Linked DNA regions of Pelodiscus sinensis. The protein of the gene in region 1 interacts with the protein of each later gene in a pairwise test. Links are inferred from orthologs where the notes say so. Each region holds a gene or a part of one and is shown on either strand. Other genes may lie near its edges.

Region 1 (10,239 bases):
TGATGAGACACATAAATATTATATGAATGAACTCTTCAACAATCTCCCAGTAAAATGCTTTCTATTTATATAAGTAAATTTATGCTCAGACACCCACTTACTAATCATTCAACTGGACACTCTGTCATAAGCACTTATAGAGGAATCTATCAACAAGTTTGGCTCCAGTACAAGTAATTTTATTGTCTGTAAAATGTAACATAATGACACACAGTGTATACATTTTAATCCTTTAAAATCATATGTAATGTCAAATAGACATGTTCTCACACTTGTAAAATATTAAAGTTAATTTATGATAAACTGATGGATCAGCAGTATTTAGGGAGAGTATGCTTATTGGAAGAAAGCCAGTTAAGCCTCAGAAATGGAAAGACCCTGACATAACCTTTGTTACTTTTTCATTGTATGTAACTTTTATGTATTTTGACACTGTTGTTTATATTTAATAGTCAATCCTGAAATATTTTGTGATACTTTGACTGGACAGGTGGAATAATTTTGGAAACCTGGAATTCCTGAAGTATAATTCTGACTTGCTTTGTGACATTGGGCAAATCACTTAACCTCGTTTTGTTTCAGTTTCCTCATCTTTAGAAAGAGTGAAGCATCACCTTTGTAATACATACTGATCTCTTATAGTGACTAATGCTATAGAATTGCAAATATAAGTCATCCCCTCACTAAAGAAGCCTATGTTGAATATGATTAACCAATAGGCCCAATAAGGTTAGGCCTAGCTACAGGATCATGTGATGTCACAATAACATCATTCCACACTTTCTAGGCATGAGGAGGAAACTTGCTTCATGAACAGCATGCCCCAGGCAAAGGAGGTACTGCATCAGCTGCCTTGAACTGCATCCGTTGCCTCTCTACCCACAGCCAGTGAAGAAGAAAAGGGGAGAAACTTTCCTTTCACCCTCCCACTTCCCCCTCCCTGCCATATGGACATGGGGTAAAGGTATCGGAAGGCCTGGTCTGTCAACCTGACCACAGTGGTTAGTTCAGTCACCAGTATCTTCTCTCTTATGGTAGCTGAGGATGGGGGACGGGAGTGTCTTACACTTCCACTTTGTTGGAGGCCAGGGAGAATATTACTGCTGATCTCATTTAGCTGACCCATGAGACACCTTCCTCTTCAGGGGTATGTCTAGACTACATGGCTCATTCGATGGAGCCATGTAGATGAGTTTACTAGACCATAGGAAAATGAAGCTTCATTTACATCAAAATAGCCGCCGCGCTATGCCGATCAGCTATTTGGCAGTATAGCGGGACAGTCTGGATGCGCTGTGGTCGACAAGGGAAACTTTTGTCGACCTCTCCAGTAAAGCTCATTTCAGAGGCACAAGGGAGCAGTTGACAAAGGCTTCCTTTGTTGACTGCGGCGCGTCCAGACTGCCCCACTGTGCCGCCAAACAGCTGATCAGCACAGCAAAGCGGCCATTTTGATGTAAATCACCGCTTCATTTTCCTATGTCTAGTGAATTTATCTACATGGCTCCGTCAACGGAGCCATGTAGTTTAGACATACCTCATCAGTTTTTCAGAGCCTCCCTCTCCTCCACAGCAGTGCCTTTCTTGTGATGGGGGGAGCTCCGCTCCACACCGCTCACTAGACAACATGATGCAAGAAGAGAGCTTTCAGTCTCCACCCCGAAACAAAGGGCCAGAACAAGGAGGCCTGCAGTCGCTCCTTGCTGCTGCTGTGAGGGCCTCCCTTGATGCCTCATCTGTTGCATTTATTTGAGTCATACTCCCTATGAAGCAGAGGGTCCATGGAGGAGAGGCTCCAGTAACCCTTACAAAGGAAGCCCTGTGAGGAGCTGGGAGTGGGGAGAGAGCTCTCTGGTACCATCATCCTATCCACCAGGTGGGTCTGCCCCACACGCCCTAGCAATGGTGGTAGGAGTGGCTTCCTACCCCTAAGGTCCTCAGGTAGAGTTGGAGATGCTGAGTGTCTATGATGGGTGAATGGTAAGCATATGGCTGGATCATGTGTATCTGTGACAGGCTATTTGATATGTGTGATAGACTGGAGAGATGATGTGAGGGAATGACTGAAGGATTGAGAGCTGAAAGAACACAGGCGAAGGACATGACACGTACAGAAAGAGGAAGGTGAGATGAAGGGACAGCTGTGAAAAGGCACCAGCATATACCGTAAAGGGGATGAAAGGTATGGAAAATGGAAAAAGATGGAAGAATAAAAGCAATGTAGAAATAGGAAATTACTTTTAAAAAGGTGTTTAACAGAAACTGGAATGACTATGTTATAATCAATGCATGCCAATAGTGGTTTCTAATGATAATGAGCACTGGGAATTTCCCTGCTTCCAGTGGCATTCATCGTCCTCTGTAGATAAAGCTGATTCTTTTCTGCAAGTGGGTGTTTCTAAGGCATGGTTCATGGAATGTGCTCTGCCCCTCCCATCTTTAGAATGTACTAGATTGCACCAAATGACACTTTTTAAAAAAAGGTTCCTTTGGAGGTTACCCCTGGATTCCTTGGAAGAGCCTTTTCTCCAAATTACTTGTCAACATGTGAGGCACTTAAAAGTATTATTTGGATTGTGTGGAGCTGCATGCAGGCCTGGTGACAGGTGAAATGAAATGCACAAGGACCCCTGTTGCTGAAAAGCTAAAAAAGTATTACAAGTGTGTGAGAGCCCAAGGACTGAGAATCCAAGAGAATAGAGGTGCCACCCAGTTTATAAATATTCCCCTGTTGCCATGTATTGTTCCAAGAACAAGAACATAACAGAGAGACAGGCACATTGTCTGTGATATAAATGATGGTATTGATAAAACAAGTGAGAATAAAATTGAAAACAGGATGGGCAGGCAAGAATAGGGAGGAAAAAAGGTCATGTAGTTACTTACTAGCTGATACATCTTGTTTGGAAGTATAGTCTACAAACAGCATGCACAAGTATGTTTATATGTGTATTTCTAAGACACTCTAGACTCTCTTTCCAGATCTCCTCTGTCACTGTCCAACCCTCCCTACTCACCTATTATCCAGGGCATTTAAAGATCTCCTGTCCCCTGTAAACATCCATCCAAACCACACTCCAACCCCCAGGCATGCCACCTTAGAAACATTTCACATTCTATTTGCTGTCCTCATTCCGCCCTCCCCACTGCTCCTCCCAGAAAAAGCTCTCTGCTGATCAGGCAGCTGATAATGGAGCCAATCCACTGGAAGTAGGGCTTCTGCCCCTTATAGTGCTGAGGCCCAATGACCTGAAGTTCTGCTTGTGCTTTGAGTGGCTTGTTCCAGGTGGCCAAGACCAACTGGTAAAATATCAAGATCCTACCATAACCTTGAGTGCTAGTGGGATGTCTCCAACATATTGACTTGGTATGGGCAAGCCCTGAGCCCTCAGGAACATACGAATTGCCATACTGCATCAGACCAATAGTCTTTTGGGTCCAGTATCCTGTCTCTGACTCTAGCCAGTATTAGATGCACAGTCAGCTTCCAGGTAAGCCTCATTATGATCTCTAATGGTTACAGACCGCAAAGTCTTTAAATAGACTCTACATTTCTACTAGAGCAGTGGTCCCCAGCCTGTGATCCATGGACCCCTGGGGGGTCCATAACAGTACTTTATAGGGTCCATGGAAAGTTTAGGAAAGGAAAGGAAATAAAAGTAAGGATTAGGCTCACCATGGGACTGGGACTATCCACCAGACAATTCTCACGTGGGGCTCGCTGTTTGCAACCGGCCTCACCCGCATGCCACCTCTGGCCCTCAGGATGGGATCTTGATACCCCAGGAGGCAACATCCATCCTCCCACCGCTAGCTGCACTGCTATCCATGCTCAAGCCCTCTCCTGCTACCAGTCCCGCAGTGGGCCCAATCCTTCCTTTTCTTTTCCTTTTCTTTTTTTTTTCTCCCCCAGGACTCCATGCCCAGCCAAGGGTGGAGTGCTGAGGCAAGACCTGCCTTTAGCCACGACAGGCCCCTCGCCATATCCTCCATGGAAGGGCAGGGATGGAGGGGCGGGAACTGAGAAAGCAGTTCAGGCTAAGGGACGTGATAGCCACCACTTCCTTTGGGGGATGGGGTCCATAAAATTTTAACAGATTGAAAAAGGGGCCCTACGCTTGAAAAGGTTGGGAACCACTGCATTGGAGTTTAGTTTGGGTTGCATCTTAGCAATGACAGGGCTAATTTCAGTCCTGCTTGGGAGGAATTCCCTCTGATTGGTTGCTTGCCCTACCTCCTGAGGAAAAGCAACCACTCAATGCAGCTGTAAGAAGCTGGAAGTGTTCTTCCCACTCCAATCAGGAGATGGCCCCATTTCTTACAGGAGAGGAGAGAACAGAAAGAGCTCTGTCAACTAGGGTAACTGCACTTCTCCCTTCCCTCCCCTGGATTGGCTCCTCTCCACCTCTACCTCCAACACCTGGCTTGGGAAAGGGCAGGAACCTTGGGAGTTACCTCCAATCCTGCTGCAGCCCCCTGGCTCAGGAGAAGTGGGTGAAGAGCAGCAAGAAACAGGGGAGCTGAGGTGAGAGGTAGGAGGAAGTAGGGGAAAAACTCATGTGGGGACAAAATTGATGGGCATCAGGGGGCAGAATTAATTGCTGGGCAAGTGATGGCAGATGTAGAGGTGAGGGCTTCTGCAGCAGGTCCCCAAATCACCTTAACAGATTTTCAAACATTGGCAACACAAATTGTACATCCACTTGGTGGGTACAATGGGAGTGCAAAAATAAAGTCAGATCAAAACCATAACCCAACTAAATATTTTTATTGCCATGCATTAGGATAATTCTGCAGAGATGCTAAGAAGCTGGCCTGGATTGATTGGTGCAGCCACTCCTGTTGCTACTGGTGCATTTCTTGGCTTCTTTATTTGCACAGCAGCACTTCAACCTCCTTTTCCATGACTAGTGACACAGCTTCTGGCAGAGCACTGATCTTGCTATCCTGTTGCATTCACTGTATCCGGACTAAGTGTGAAACAGCTTGGGACAGGCCTTATCCCAGTCAGGGTGACTATTTTCTGTTGTCACAACGTTCAGGCGTATTTGGGGGACAGCACGCTTGTGAATCGTGAGTATACAAGGGGGGAGGACGACGAGAGACGCCCAAATAAGTCGAAGACACCTTGTGTGCACAGGAACATGGGCGAGCCCAGTACACGCGTGTGCAAAGTGGCTGTAACTGCCGGGGTGGGTCTGCAAGAAGCAAGTGAGCACAATTTGCGTGTTGAGGGGCTGGGGTGGGGGCGCGTGAGTCGGCGCGCCCGGTGTGCTGCTGGCATGCCCGCGAGCCTGGGTGAGGCGCGTGGCCCGCTGCGGCCGGCGTTAGCGAGGGTGCAGCGTGTGCGGACACGTGTCGGTGCCGTAGCACCCAGGGCGCGGCTGGGCGCAGGCCAGTGGCTTCGCTCCGTCCGCCCGCCCGCAGCCGGGCTCGAAGGGTTGGCGCGGGGCGGGAGGAAGGCGGCGGCGGCCGCAGAACAGCCCCCTACAGCAGCGGGCTGCAAGCGCTGCTCCAGCGGAGCGCACTGGAGCAGCGCCGCTGCCCTTTCTCGGCTGGCTGCCGGCTGGGCGGGGAGGCTGCCGCTGGGCTGGGGCGGGGATGGCTCTGGCTGCGGCTGCGTGGAGGCGGCGCCGGGGTGGGAGGTGGGTTTAAAGCCTATTAAAGGGGGAGGGGGGCGGTGGAGATGATGCATCCTAAGCTGGAGAGTCAGCTGAGTACGGAGCAAGATCTGGGCGGCGGGGGCACGTAGCCCCGGGTTAATACCAGCAGCTCGGAGGAGGGAGCCGGGTCCGCAGCGGCGGTTCAGCAAGGGCAGAAGTTTTCTTTGTAGCTCCCCTCCCGTACGGAGGGGCTGCCGTATATATTTTGGCGTGTGCAATGGGAGTTTAACTTTCCTCCTCCCCGCTGGGAAGACCCCCCCCCCCCCCCGTAGCTAGCATCCCGCGCTGCCTGCTGCACTCCCGACCCCACCGGAACAGCAGCCACAAAACTTGATCGGAGCGTGCGAGAGGGAGGGCGAAGGAGCCAGACGCGCACAGCGAAGCACTCGAGAGGGGGAGGGGGCACTGGTGGTGTCCGGAGCAGCCAGAGGGAGGCCACGAGGGCGAAAGAGGCGCCGGGCAGCAGCAGGTAAGAGACTCAGCAGGGCAGGGGAAGGGTGCGCTGTGAAGTGGGCATGCCCCGTCCTGCAGGCGTCCCTTGCAAGGGGCAAAGCAGCGGGATCTGGCGGGAGGAGGCTGCACGAGCAGGGAACTGCTGGGAAAGGTCCAGGACTGCGAATGCAGAATGCGCTGGCTTAGGCGCTCGCAGAACAGGCTAGGGTGAGGGAGGACGCCTGAGGCAATGAGGCTAAATTACAAGGGGACTGCGCGCGTGAATGTACATATCGCCTATAAGCTGGTTGGGAGCTTGTGCGCTGAGGGTTCCTTAGTAGCCGAGGTTGGGAGGGGGGCGGGGGAGAGGAGTACGCAATTCTCTTTCCCTGACTTCGGATTTAGTTGGTCACTTTCAAAACTTCCTCATTAAAGCGGAGTGGAAAGCTGGAGCCACCTCCCCCCCCCCCCCCCCCCGCCTCCACTGACAAGACTTCAGGCGAGTTGAGTGCGGCGAATCCGTTGTTAGTAGTTTGCCGTGCTCTCTTGTCTCTCCTCCCTTGGACCTTTATTAGCCCCTTGGGGGAGTCACTGAGCCTGTGTGCATATTTGAACCATTTCGTTGTCAGATCTGAGATCCTTTCAAGCCCGAAGAAAGGAGGAGGGGGCTGGACTGCAACGATCAGAGGGGATCTTAAGTCCACAGAATAAGGTCCATTTCCCACTTCCACCGGTTCTTAGGCGTGCTGTACTTACTGGCCTGTACTTGTATTTATCGGGAATTGAAACAGCTTTTACAGGGCCTCAGGAAAGCTAAACTGTTTCTTTTGTGTTGCTTTTCCTAGAGGTATTAAAAGTTTAGGTCTGAAATGCTACCCCCATTTTTCTCTTTTGGCAAGGAGAATAACTTGAGGCAAAGGACAGATCACAGAAGTGCCACTCCGGATGCTGCTGCCTGCCCTCTCTTACTTCTTCCCTCTTCACCCCCCCCTTCCCCAGCTATCCTCAAAAACAGATTTGGGAATAAGGGGAGTCTTTGAACATTTTTGTGGGACAGTATTTTGGTGGCTTTTGGATAATATTGGGTAGTTTCTTGTAACCCAGAACGTGTGAAATAAGGCTTGGCAGGGAGAGGTTTTTACTTTCTTGCCCTCCCCCACCTTCAACTCATGATTGGAGGTAGAGCAGGAAAAATCTGTTCCACATGGGCTCCCCTTCTATACCTTGTTTGCCTTGTTGCAAAAACTGGGACCTAAACTTTATCATCTTATAAAAGAAAGTCTGCAATTAATTGGTTTGGCAGACCATAGAATCATTGAAGATTAGGGTTGGAAGAGACCTCAGGAAGTCATCTAGTCCAAACCCCAAAGATGCACTAGTGCAAAATCTCTTAAACTGCCAGGCCCACCCTACTCTCCCCCCTTCCTTAAAATCCACATAACATTTAATTTTAGAGTAGTATGGAGAGTGCTGATTCAGCACTTGAGAGCACCACTGTATCTGCAGTGGTGTTCTGTGTAAAATGTTTTGATTTGTTGAACTGGGAACATATGTTTCTGGTATGTCAAAGCAATACCGATCAAGGTTCACAAAGCAGTACTGTGCTTGTTCATGATCTTACTCCTATAAAGTGAGAAATAACAATGGGCATTATGAAGGGGGTGGGATGTTAGATTTCTAAAATTTAACTTAATAGTCAAATGAAATTGTATTGCATCTGGGAGGTGTGATCTTCTGAACCAAGCTTTTGTAGGTGGTGTGATCAATAAACAGTTGTAAGATTTCAGTTTAACTCATTCTTAAATCCATGGGCTAGTTGTACTTACAGCATTCAGAGAAACAGAGGAGGGCAACAAGGCTAATCCTAGGATAAAAAGGAGTGAGTTATGAGGACAGTTTAAAAAAAATGTGTGGCGATTGGACAACCTGAGTGGAAGAAGGAATTATGCCTGAAATGAAATGCTGTAAATGACAACCTTGATGGCTGCTTCAGTTCATTTAGATAGGCAGACGAGGAGTGAAGGGACATGCAGAATGCTCAGAACATACACATATTTTCCCTAGCAAGGTCTGAATGGAAGCAATGTGGCTATTCAAGAAGCATATTCTTCTCTTTCCCTTGTGTTTTGTCTCAAGATGTACCGTTGTAGTCTAATGAATAAACTTAATCTTTGAGCCAAGTCAGTCTTGATATCAATCTCCTTTTTAAATAAGCTGCACAACACCGAGCAAACACAGACTAAAAAGTGATGTTTGGTAACATCTGTTATGAATGATAATGAAGGGACCCCTCCACATGCCTGAAATTATTGTTTCTTCCTCTCCCCCCCCCCCCCTTCCCACCTGCTAATATTGTAGTTCATTTGCACTCTTTGTTCTTAAAGTAGATCTTGTTTGCTCTGGCTGGATATTCTAGTGAGTTTCCTTGGTTTTTGTCAGTCAAAGTATCCTCTTCCCTACTGTGGTGTGTGTTGGCTTCCAATCTCTAACCCAGGTGTAACTTGCTTTCAAAAGAAATAATAAACACCACTTTGAAAGCATTGCTTAGATGTAAAATGGATATCTGCATTTCATGTCTACCCATGGAAAAGAACAACTGTAGTCATAAAGTGAACATTTGCAACTCGCTGTCTTGTTTATATTCCATGACTCTGAATCTAACAAGAATCACTACAAGTTACCCTACAAACTGTGGGCTGGATCCTGAATTGCAGTCCACTGGCATGTAAGGGCTGAAAGTAGCTGGATCTCCATTGCTGTGGGTTCCTTCCAAGATGGGATGTTGCCAGCTGGCATGAAGACAGTATAGCTAGGCCATGTGCCATCTTCCAACAGCCCTTGCAACACTGGTGGGAAGGGGGAGGATGTTAATCTGACAGTCCCCAGCTAGCAGATGTCCCATTGGAGACTGTTAGCAGCTGGTGTACTGCAGAGCAGCTCTAGGCTGGGAGCCACAACCAACTTCACTTAGGTTTTCCCCTTAGATTATTTGTGGTGTCTCCGTATGTGTATATTGAGGTGGTAGTGCCTCACTGTGAATGGAGAGTTGCACAGCAAAAGCCTCCTTGCCAGTCATATAAAGGAATAAAACACCAGAGGGCTTTAGGGGGTAGTACTAGCTTGCACTTGTAGGACTCTGGGTTGTACTTAAATCATTTGACTTGTTTAGGTAAAGTTATCACTGAATATAGTAAAAACTCTAATTCCTTTACTTTAAAATAACTTTGAAAGTAGACTGAACAAACATTTAAAGATCAGTTAGCAATGTTGTATAACTTAATGGGTAGTGATAGTGTTGCTGTATTAATTTCTTGGCACTGTCATTCTATCCCTCTGTTTAAAGATTTCTCTCCCATCCATACCCAAGCTAGGAAAAGCAGAGAAACTATTTTTTTGAAACTTGAGCTGTCTGACACTATGAAATGTCCAATGGGCAGGTATGACATTGGATCTTATTTTTGCAGTATTTGCAAGCATAGAATCATAGAACACTAGAACTGGAGGGTACCTTGAGAGGTCATTGAGGCCAGTCCCCTACCCTCATGGCAGGAGGCATCTTTTTACGTAGCTTAAAGTGTAGGATGAGATGTCCCCAATAGTTGAATAGACATGTCTGAGCAGGCAGATCAGCTGCATCATCTTGTGGAGGTGCCTGAGGGTCATTCATATTGTGCATTCTTGCTTACCAAGCACTATTTGAATTATGTGTGATAGGCGGACGGAAACCCGTCCACTTCTAAAGGCCCCTCCACAGCCTTGCGGGAGGGACCAGTGGACCCAGGCTTCAACAGAATACTAGTGACAACTAATGAAAAACAGGGTCAGCAGTATGGGTCACACTAAGGTTAACTATGGGCCAGAAGGCACCATAGCTCTACTCACTGTTCAGCTTTTCCAGAGAAACCCTAAACCATGTTTGTCTTAGCGTTGTGTATCAATTTATCTCAGAATCATATGGCCCTACCTGTCAAGCAGGGTGCCTATACAATGGCTCTCTGTTACAGTAAATTTTAATGTTTCAGCTTTGTTCGGAGACCAGAGTCAGTAAACATGAACTAGGTCCAAAAAGGCAACTCCACACAAGTAGGTCATGATGAACGAGGTAATTGTAAACATATGTTTACTTAAACTACTGGTAAACTGG
Region 2 (10,627 bases), on another chromosome or scaffold:
TGGAGGCAAAAATTCAACTTAAATTCAACCTACTTTTGTAACGTACACAAACCCAGAGAGATGTGAACAATCAAGACTCCAGGGAAGGTCTAAGAAAAGGATTCTTCCTTTTCCCAACTGACTGGAATATAAACTTTCCACCCATAGACGATATATGAAGAGGATATCGGCATATTCATATGGTTCTAAATACAAAACTGTTATCTGCAAAAATGAGCCATGGATATCTGCATCCACAGATATCTGCAAATTTGCAGGGCTCTACAAAGGGCAGGGGTGGGAAATAATTTTTGACCAAGGACCACTTCAAAAATGTTTGTAGGGGCGCTGGGCCACTCAAGAAGGGGCGGGGCCTCAGGCAGAAGGGGGCAGCCATGACACTTACCTGCTTCCCCAACCTCAGACCCTTATTCAAAAAGCAGGTTCACAAAGTTTCTTTGTTTTCTGAGAAAGACAGCTGAAAATCATTGTGTATTAAACCCACCACTTCCAACTAAAATACTAACAAAGTCACCCAAACTTACAAAGCTGTGATTGAGACCCTGATCCTTTATCTTCACACCTTGCCACTACCTCTGGAGCTAATAAAACAGTGGTGGAAAACCTTTTTTGGGTGGGGTGGGGGGGATGGACAGACTGACCCACAGGAACAAAAATCAGTCAGGAGACTCACACAAGTGAGAAACAACTGGGGTGGGTGGGGAGGACACTGAAGCACCAATACAAGCTCTGCAATGCTGGTGGGAGGAGAGCCCCAAGCCTTGGGGGCCAGATCTAGGTAAACCAGTGGCTGCATCCAGCCTCCCAGGCCTTACGTTCCCCACCCCTGTAATACAGTGAGTTACAGAAAAGTAATGTAACAAGGCCCTATATTCTTTTTAATATGCAGCCAGCCACAAGAGGGCAGGATGTTCACATGTACATTATAATTACCATAACTAAACATCTCTTCTTGACAGCTCATGAAACCATCTACATGTTTTGTTAGTCTATAAAGCGCTACAAGACCATTTGTTGTTTTATTAAAATCCTTGTTAGTTTTTTGTTCCGTTTTACAGTCAAAGTATAATTTATCCAAATTTTTCCTTGAATGGGCATACTAGAAAGTTAATATAACCATGTCATCACAAAAGCCAAGGAAAGGAATCCTGAATTGAGATGACAATAATCAGACTGTTTAAAGACAATGGGACTGTTCATTAACAGGTGTTTAACTCAAACACTCAAAGGAACAGTTTGGAGGCAAGATCTTTGTGAAATGTTTTAATAATGGGAGGGAGGAGAGCATTGGGGAGGAAACACTCATGTATCAGTTATTTGGACTTCCAATTAAATCTTCAGTAAAAAAAAATTAATATATTTGACATTTCAAATGTTAAACACAAGCAGAAAACTTCAAGACAACGGAAGGCCTGAACACAGTAAAGAAGAAATATAATCAACAAAATGTGCAGCAAGGGTCTCCCACCAACTCTCCTTTGTAGGCCACTTTTAACTGACCCGGTCTACAGTTAAAACTTAAGTGATCTAGCTAGCTCTCTCAAAACTGTATAAAAACCTTCACACCCTTTGAAACATAATGAGGGTGACCTAACCACGACTGTAAATGTAGGTAGATTGACAGGTGTAAAAAAAAAAATCTTCTTTTGATGTTGCTACTAAAGATATAAAAGGTTAACCAGTAGGCCTCACCTTAATGGGTGAGGCTTACAGGTTCTGGTTACAGGTAGGGGCTGAGGCAACCCCTGTCCCTGGCAAGCCAGATCCACCTTCCCCCATCAGATTATATGCTGGCTCCCTGGGAGCAGGGCCAGGCATTTAAAAATGTAACTATGTAACCACTAAAAATCAGAGCGGTTACAGGTGCTGGAGGCTCTGCAGCATAGCTTATTTAAGTGTAAATGCTATGATTTTTAGTGGTTACACAGTTACATTTTTAAACATATTTTTACATCCCTACTAGCCACTGCCTCTTGAGATTCTAGATTTACTAAAAAAGAGAAATATCCTTTTGTGATCTGTTGCAATGCTTGTAGTGTAGATGTACCTTAAGTTATCTTTTTCTTCAGTGTTCTAGTATGCTACTAATATAATTTCACAGAGCTGTATACTCAGAAAAAGTACATCCAGCCACCCAGATAATGTGCAAGTGGGCTATTCATCATCTCTCAATTTTACAGTTCATCCCAAATGGAAAACTTCATTTGCCTCTTTTGAAGCATTCATAAATGTGAAAGGCATTATTCAACTTGATTTGTTTTATTTCGTAATTTTAAAAAAATATCAGTCTCTTGGCAGACCTTATAGATAATACATCTCTGGAAGAAGGGACATAGTTTTTCTTTAAAATGTGAAGACTTTTCAACTCTCCAGTTGGTGTTAGTCTTTTCAGAAAGCAAGATGACTGACAATACAGTGGGAAATAGTGAAACCGACTCACAAAGTAAAAATAGAGGAAAAAAGCCCCAGAGCTTTACAAAAACTTTTCATGTATTTGATAAATTATTTTACTGATGTGTTACAACATCAAGAAACCTGTGTATTTGCAAAGGAAGAATAGTACACCAAGATAGCAATATAAATATTCTACATTTCAATTGTTAGCTGAAATCATTTGTTCAAAAAAGGCTCTGCAGCAAACCTGATGACAGAGAATGCAATCTTTGTGCAAGTACCTCCACATGCCCAGACAAGGCTTCTCTGTCCACCTCCTGAAATCACTAACAAATAATTTACAGCTTTGTTAGAGAACTGAAGAGAGATATTAAGACAGCAATGGAATCAAGAAGCTGCCAAGTCTTGCTATCACTGCTGTAAATTTTCAGTGCCACATATCACTTAAGTGATGGTACCCCTATTTCTGACCTATTTAACACAGTAAACAGAATCTTGCATTTTGTCCATGCTCAGTAAAGAATCTATTCTGTGACAAGTGCTCTGACACCAGTTACTTCACTGAGTTAGCATAGCTATGCTTTTTTTAAAAAAAACACCTACTGTTGCACCTACTGTTAGTAGTGACAGGGTGCAGACTAATTACCATAAAATCAACTAACTCTGATCTAAACAAGATTTAGATAAATTAGTGGCCACTAGTGCTCCTACCATCTCTACTACTAAGAGAGTTGGCAGCAATAGGTGAGTTCAACAAATGCCAGAAGAATCCACTTGTTTGGAAAGTGACACATGCTAGCTCTTGAAGCAAGAAATCAAAGGCTGATAAACCAAAAATGATTAAATTAAAAGTACAACAGCAGCATTCAGAAATAAAACAGAGAACAAAATATGGACCGTAAAATAATGGCAAAAGTAACCAAAAAAGAAAACCCCCAAGACCATCATTCTGAAGCAAATCAGAATATGGGTTGTTTTTTTTTTAATACTCCAACCACGTCAATAAGTATTGACCCCTTTGGCCTCCAACTTGTCTGGATTTAAACTGCAATTATACATGCTCGTAGGTGCTGGAATCGTTGTGTTGACACTGAGACTACTTGCCTTGGATTAAAACCAAACACACCTGATCCTGATCTACGGGCTCTTCGCCCTACCACAGCCTTTAGGGTCACACGCTGCTGATGATTATTCCCCTTAACACCGATCCTACTGACGCCTCAGCCCTGAACCAGCTCTTTTCTTCCTGTGTCTGCAGTATGACAAGGCCAGACATGCTCAGAGGAGACAGGCGTCAGTGCGAACGGACCCTGCCCGAAGGCTCGCCCAAGACGCTGAGGGGGGCGAGGAGCGCTCGCAGGAGTTAGGGGAAGAAGGGAACGAGCAGGGACCACAAATGGCCCGGAATGACCCAAGAAATCCCGCAGGTGTCTGACAGGCTCCGGCCCACCAGCACTCACCCAACCCACGGCAGGACCTGCTGCCAAAGGCCGCCTGCACGGGGCCTCCACCAGTCAGAGCCACCGGGAAGTGGGAAGAGGGGCAGGCGGCTGCGTCTCCGCGCAAGCGACGGGGGGAAAGACGAACAACGGAGGCTCCGGCAAGGCCTATAGCCCATAAGCCAAGTCCAAGTCACCTCGGCTGCTCAAAGGCCGCGGGCCTCCTTGGCTTCTGTACCCCACGGCAAAGACCTTTCCCCGGGCAGCAACCGCAGGCGACACCGGCGCTTCCACGGCGGCCTAGGCACGTTCCCGCAGCAGGGCCGCCCCGGCGGGGCTGACACGTCCCGGACGGGAAGGAGAAAGGCTCAGGCACCGCCTGGCCGCCCCGGGGAGCCGGCCGGCGCCAACGGGGTTAATTACCTGCGATCCCGGACGGAGAGTCTCTCACAGCCGAAGCAATTCCTCAGTCCCAACAACACAAGATGGCGGTCGCGCCGCCACGCATCGTCACGTGATATAGGGCGCCACCTACCCACCCAGGCCCCGGATGGGAACGGCGGCGAGTTGAGAGCGCGCGCGCGCCGCGAACAGAGCGCGAGCTCCGCAACGCTAACGGCCGCCGCGGGGTGACGCGAGCCCCCGCCCTAGTGCCAGGCCCGGGCCTCGAGAGAGAGCACGAGGCCGGCCGAGGCCGCTGCGTCGGGACAGCGCCCAGCCCCGATCCTACCCTAGGGCCCAGGCCAGGCACGGGCCATAGTCCTCCGCATGCACCCAGCTCGGGCCGGGCGGGAGCCCAAGTGCTCTGGTACTTCCCCACTGCCTCTGTTCTGGGCCCAGCTCTCCCACCCCGCCCGACCTGGGTGATCCAGAGCCCTCTGACAAGGAGCCAGCCCTGCCTGGAAAAGGGGTGCGGGCGGCTCGGGTCAGCAGTGCTGAGCGGGGCGTTAAAGGGCCGCATAGTGGGACAAGGAACTGCCGGGCCTCCCAGGAGTGTTCAGCAGGGACGCTCCCCCGGCCTCCAGTAGCAGCTCCGCCCCTCCCATTGGCCGGGAGGCTTTGTGAGCGGGAGCTGTGGGGGCAGTGCCCAGAAAACCTCCCTCCCCAGACTTTCTGTCGAGGAGCCAGACATACTGGCCCTGTCCCAGCGTCTCAAAGAACCAGGGCAGGCAGGAGTCTGTCTTAGTGCCTCTGTGCCTCTGGCCTAAGGTAAGTACAGCCTAGCTGAACCAGTGCCTTGATCCCCCTCCCAGAGCTTGCAGGCCCAGCCCTGAGCCTGCTCCCACACTCTAAACCCCTGAAACCCAGCCGAGAGCCCCCTCCTACTTCCACAGTCGGCAACACCAACTAGAATCCTTCCTGCACCCCTGCTCCAGCACACAGCCCCCTCCTGAATCCCTCATTTCTGGCCCCATCCCACATCCTGTACCCCCAGCTGGAGTCTTCACCCAGTCTCACAACCCAATCCTCTGGCCCATTCCATTGAATTTGGGGAAAGGACAAGCGATGCAGGAGAAAGTGGGATGAGGCTTAGAACACGGGGTGGGGCAGGGCAGGTGTTTGGTTCTATGTGATTAGAAAGTTGGCAACTGTAGTCACACTTCATATGCAGAAATCACCCTGTCACGTTATTCACACTGCTTTCTCACAGAGGCAGACATCTTGATCAGTGTTCAGGACCTGATGAAAAAAATCTTAACATAGTCAAGGAGTTGACTGAGAAAATATCAGAGACATTGGGTATTATTTTTGAAAACTCATGCAAAACAGAGATTGCAGAGGAAGGCAAATATAGTGCAATCTACTAAGACAATCTGGGTAATTACAGATGAGTCCTCTTAATTTAAGAACACAGAAAGATAATAGAGTAAATAATCAGTTTACAAACACCTGGAAAATAAGGTGATGATGGCTTATCAAGGAATGTTGCTTTTGAAGAACAAATCATGACAAATTAACCTAATGGCTCTGCTTGATAGGAAACAAGCCTTGTGGATGGGATGTGGCAGGGGAGGAGTGGTAGATGTTGTATATCTTGATTTTAGTAAGGCTTTTGTTAGTGTCCCTCTTGATCTCAAACTAGGGAAACAAAGCCTAGATGGAGTTACTATAAAGTGCATGCATATTTGGTTGGAAAAACATTCCTGTAGAATAGTTATGGTTCACAGTCAAGCTGGAAGGGTCTATCACATGGGGTCTTTCAGGTATCAGTTCTGGGTCTGATTCTGTTCAATATTTTCATAAATGATTGAGACTAAAATTATACAGCGTACACTTAAAGTTTGAAGACAATACCAAGCTCAGTGGGGTTGCAAGTACTTTGGACGATAGGATTAAAATTAAAAGTCATCTGGACAAATTTGAGAAATTGTCTGAAGTAAACAATTAAATTAAAAAAGGACAAATGCACTAAGGAAGGAACAATCACTTGCACACACATACATGGGAAATGACTGTCTAGGAAGGAGTACTATGGAAAGAGCTCTGGGGGCACGGGTATTGGATGAAGCTATCTCTTGGGAAGGTGAACTCCCCAGGCTTTGGCCCTGCCCATATTCTACTGCAGGCTCCAGACATTCTTCCCAGGCACTGCCCTCTCCCCACTGTTCTCTTCTTTCCCTGCCCTGCTTACCCCCTTTAAGCAAAATCCCTGAATCCAAATGTAGAAAATGACATTTGAAAAAAAAAAACACTCTTCTACAATTTCTTTCTAACGAAAATGGAACATGTTATCCACTGCATGCCAGATTGTGAAGACTGGACCTGCAGAAGGTACCTAATTAAATTTATTTGGGAATAAAAAAAGTCACAAGTTTTTTTTATATATACCCTGAAGTTTGTCAAAGATTTATTTGCACAAACTTTGTGGTAAGGGCAGGTCAGCTGTCCTGCTGAATATAACATTAAATATTATGGAATAGATGATGCAGCTCTTCTTTGTTTAATTTTTTTTAATCAGTATTTCTGAGCTGATTTTATATTTTAATTTTACTCTTAAGCCTGCACAAGTAATCATTCCAGATTACTACAGATTTAAGACACTGAAGCAAAAATATAAGTTTAAATTAATCAGAGCAATTTAGTGTGTTCATCACAATATTCATTGCTTTTAGAAAAAGGGAACACTAATTTATTTTGTGTAATCTCCATAACAATAGACATATTTACAAAATTTCATTTTATATTAATGTTAAAAATATGTCTAAATATTTTAGGTATAACAAGATTTTATACCTTACTGATTTTGGTGGAGGGTTCTCGTAAAAGTAGTTCATCAAATAGTCAGAAGTAAAAAAAGGGAAAATTCATTTTAACCAGGTATGTAGAAGAAAAGAGGTGTTGTCCCTATAAGGACTCTCTTGAACAGAGAGTGAAAAGAGAAAGATTACAGCAGAGATAGATAGAAAGAACAAGACGACTTTGGAAGCAAGTTTTTTGTATTATAGTAATTAAAATGTGTATTTTAAATAAGATCTTTTGAAGAATTTAAAGAACTGTTTGTCTGAAGATCCAAGTATGTAAGGCTAAAGATGAATACTCAGATTCTGCATCTCAAAATCTATGCAAGGATGTTTTAAATGTGTGGTTTTATAATCTACTGCCGCAACAAACTGACTAAATATTTTAAGCAAATTGTAAACTAAGGTCCTGTAGCCGAATAGATTGAATAAATATTGCAGGAATGCAAAATTATTTTTGTCAAGTACATTCAGAATCTGACAGTATATACCTCCAGGATGGCAAATGCTTTTTAAATTACTCCATTATTGCTTAATGGCTCTTTGAACAGTTTCAGTCTTATGCTGATAGATCTGGCAAGTTGTAAGACTTTTCACTTTGAAATTACTAGATTGCCTCTAGGGGCAGACTCACCAGGCTGAAACACCCTGTTGTTGGAGCCTGCAGGAAGAATCAGACTAGGGGTAAGAAGAGGTAGGTGTTTGGACATTAAGATCCAGGGGAAGCAATGTCTTCCCTTTCCTCTATACTGACCATGTCTGGGAGTTGATAGTGGATCACAAAGTAAATATGAGTCAACAGTGTAACACTGTTGCAAAAAAAGCCATAATTCTGGAATGTATCAGCAGGACTATTGTACTCAAGACACAAGAAGTAATTCTTCCATTCTACTCCATGTTGTTAAGGCTGCAACTGGAGTATTGTATTGTGTCCGGTTCTGGGCTCCATATTTCAGAAAAGTTGTGTACCAATTGGAGAAGGTCCAAAGGAGCGCAGCAAAAATGATTAAAATTCTAGAAAGCATGATTTGTGAGGAAAGATTGCTAGCAGCTGCATCAAGCATGTGTCTGGAAGCCACTTTAGCCCCACTGGGCTGATGGTGGTGGTAGTGGAGGCCCCTGGTCATTTTAAATCACCCTGAGCAGCAGGCAGGCTGGGGGGGGACATGGGGGAGAGGGGATTGCGCAGGGGCCGGAGCATAGACAACTGGTGTCTGCAAGGGATGGGGAGTAGGGAGGACCACTCAGAGGAACAGGGAGGGGGGTATAAGAGCACTCCATTTAGCAATTACAATTTTGACAAGGCACGGGGGTGCAGTGCACCTCCTGGGTGCTGCCACAAGTCATCTATTGCCGGGGTGAGACCCGGCCCTAACCTTTGGTGTAGATGAGATAGGAATATTCCTGTTATATGGGCCCATGGTACCCAAGGACCTCGCTGCCTATGACCACATTACATATATTTGGAAAAATCTTAGCATTTAGAATGAGCTCCATTGGGAGACTGAAGAGACAGGATGGGTGAGGTGGTATCTTTCATTGGACTATTTTGTTGGGGTGTGTCTACACTGCACCTTTAGCTTAAATAAACCCTATTCTGAAATGTCCCTTAGTCCTCATGGAACAAGGTTTACAGGGATGTCAGAATAACTACTCCATTATATTTTGAAATAACAGGCTTCTTTCAAAGATGTGGAATAGCTATTTCAGGCTACTGAAATAATGCTGCAGTGTAGATGTACCTTTAGAAAGAAGGACTAATCATATGCAACTGCTCTGAGGGAGCATCTGCCTCTGTAGCAAAACTGTAAGGTTCTGGTCTCTGACAACTTGTATTTCCATTCTCTTGGCTGCTTGCTATTACTAATGGCTAGAAAAGTGCAGGGGAGGATAGCAAGAAAAAGAATTCCAACCCAAGATGTCAGAATAGGCACTTGCAGCTCTCTTGCAGAAGCAGCTGTGCCTTGTAGCATTGTTGTTCCAATGTCGTATCTTGACAGAAGTCAGTTAGATCATGTGAATATCTCTTTGCATTTTACTTGGAGAATTCAGAAGAGGCCTCTGTCTGACACTGGAGAAATCTAGTTTGTGGGGACTTGCTTTTAGTTAGTTTAGTTAGTTTGGGGGAGTTTATCAAGCAAAATTTCAAGAAGGGAACATTTTTAAGGTATGCATTTTTTTTAAATTTTATTTGGAAAATTCAAAATACATTTTAGTATCTATTTTAGTAGAGTTATCCGAGGACTTCTGTTATGCTCAAGCAAGCAGAACATAAGACTATTACAAACCACAAGACTATGGAGCCAAATTATTCCTAGGTATAACTACAGGAACTATGGCAGATGCACAGTAGGTATAAATTTGGCTCTTGATAAGCAAACACTCCTGCTAGTCTGCCTTTTAATAGATTAAACTTAAAAAACAACAGATAATCTAGCAGCTAAACTAAAAAAAACCCATGTAGATGGTATCATGTGCTTTCATAGACACAACCCACTCCTTCAGATGAATTTAATTATGCAAGGAGAGCTGCGGGCTGGAGATTCTTCAGGTGATAGACCTGTAGAGGCAGGGCATGAGTGATGATGTTTGCCCTGGCTGTCAAGTGCTGATTATGGCCTCCCCACTGTTGCCCACGTCAACTGTGGATCTGTATCTATCACTGACACGGCTGGAGTTGAGAGTGGCAGCATTGAAGCCGGTGCCGCTTTATTTGAACACGCCACTTTTGCCTGCAGCCCCGTATAATTTTGTGATGCTGGGTTTTATGGGGCACCACAAGTGTGGAGTACCCCTAGGCTTCAGCACTGAGGAAGTGCAGACAGGCGCCGTGGCTAATTTGTAAGCTCTGCCTGCCATTTTGGTAGCAGGGGTCCTCAAAGTGCCTGGTCTCTTCCCTACTTACTCTCAAGGAAGAGTGTGTCGGAGAAGTGGCTCTTTTCTTTGGTGAGTCTTCCTATTCTTGGGAGGCATTTTGTGCTTCAGCAGGCTGCATAGCCTTGTCCAATAATATAATTCTGAGGTGGAGCACTGTATTCTTTCTAGCTCTTCCTGCCAGGCTGCAGCAGTGATCACACTTCTGTGGTATGTGGGCTTCCCCTAAGTAGCAAATGCATAGGGAATGGTCATCGGATACTGGCATGGGCTCCTAGCACTCATCACATTTCTTGAAGCCCGAAGAACCAGACATATTGATTTGTCTGCAGTGTTACTCTTTCTCTTTTCCTTTTCTGTACTGGAAAAAAAAAAGAAAGAAAAAGAAGAGAGGAGAACTGGGAAGGAGCCTGGTTCATGTTGCCTCTGAGCTGAGCAGCTAAGCCATGTTCAAATCCTGTAGGGAAGAAAAAACATTTTGTGAGGTAAAATTGAACAAGGAGAACTATTTACATGAATTTCTAACACAATAAGGATAACTGTCAAAACACTAAAATATTATCTGAGATAAGAGTGTGAGAGAGCATATTGAAGCTCCATCTGAAGCTGAGGGCAGTTAAAAAGGAACTGAAATGGATGGGTCAGGCCACGCATGTTGGACGCTCAGTTGGGAGTGCTGTG

What was found.
Region 2: the proteins of GRB10 (region 1) and GIGYF2 interact in a two-hybrid assay, tested with the Homo sapiens proteins (2 studies listed by BioGRID). The link is inferred for Pelodiscus sinensis from reciprocal best matches to the Homo sapiens genes GRB10 and GIGYF2.

Annotation. Positions count from the first base shown.
Region 1 is NC_134712.1:156,340,288-156,350,526, forward strand, and holds the start of GRB10 (growth factor receptor-bound protein 10), read left to right. Parts: upstream 1-5,662; 5' UTR 5,663-6,132; intron 6,133-10,239.
Region 2 is NC_134720.1:4,776,253-4,786,879, reverse strand, and holds the start of GIGYF2 (GRB10-interacting GYF protein 2), read right to left. Parts: upstream 4,384-10,627; 5' UTR 4,257-4,383; intron 1-4,256. Other genes in the region: uncharacterized protein LOC102449525, read left to right, coding at 6,560-6,605. UniProt on the Homo sapiens protein: Key component of the 4EHP-GYF2 complex, a multiprotein complex that acts as a repressor of translation initiation. In the 4EHP-GYF2 complex, acts as a factor that bridges EIF4E2 to ZFP36/TTP, linking translation repression with mRNA decay.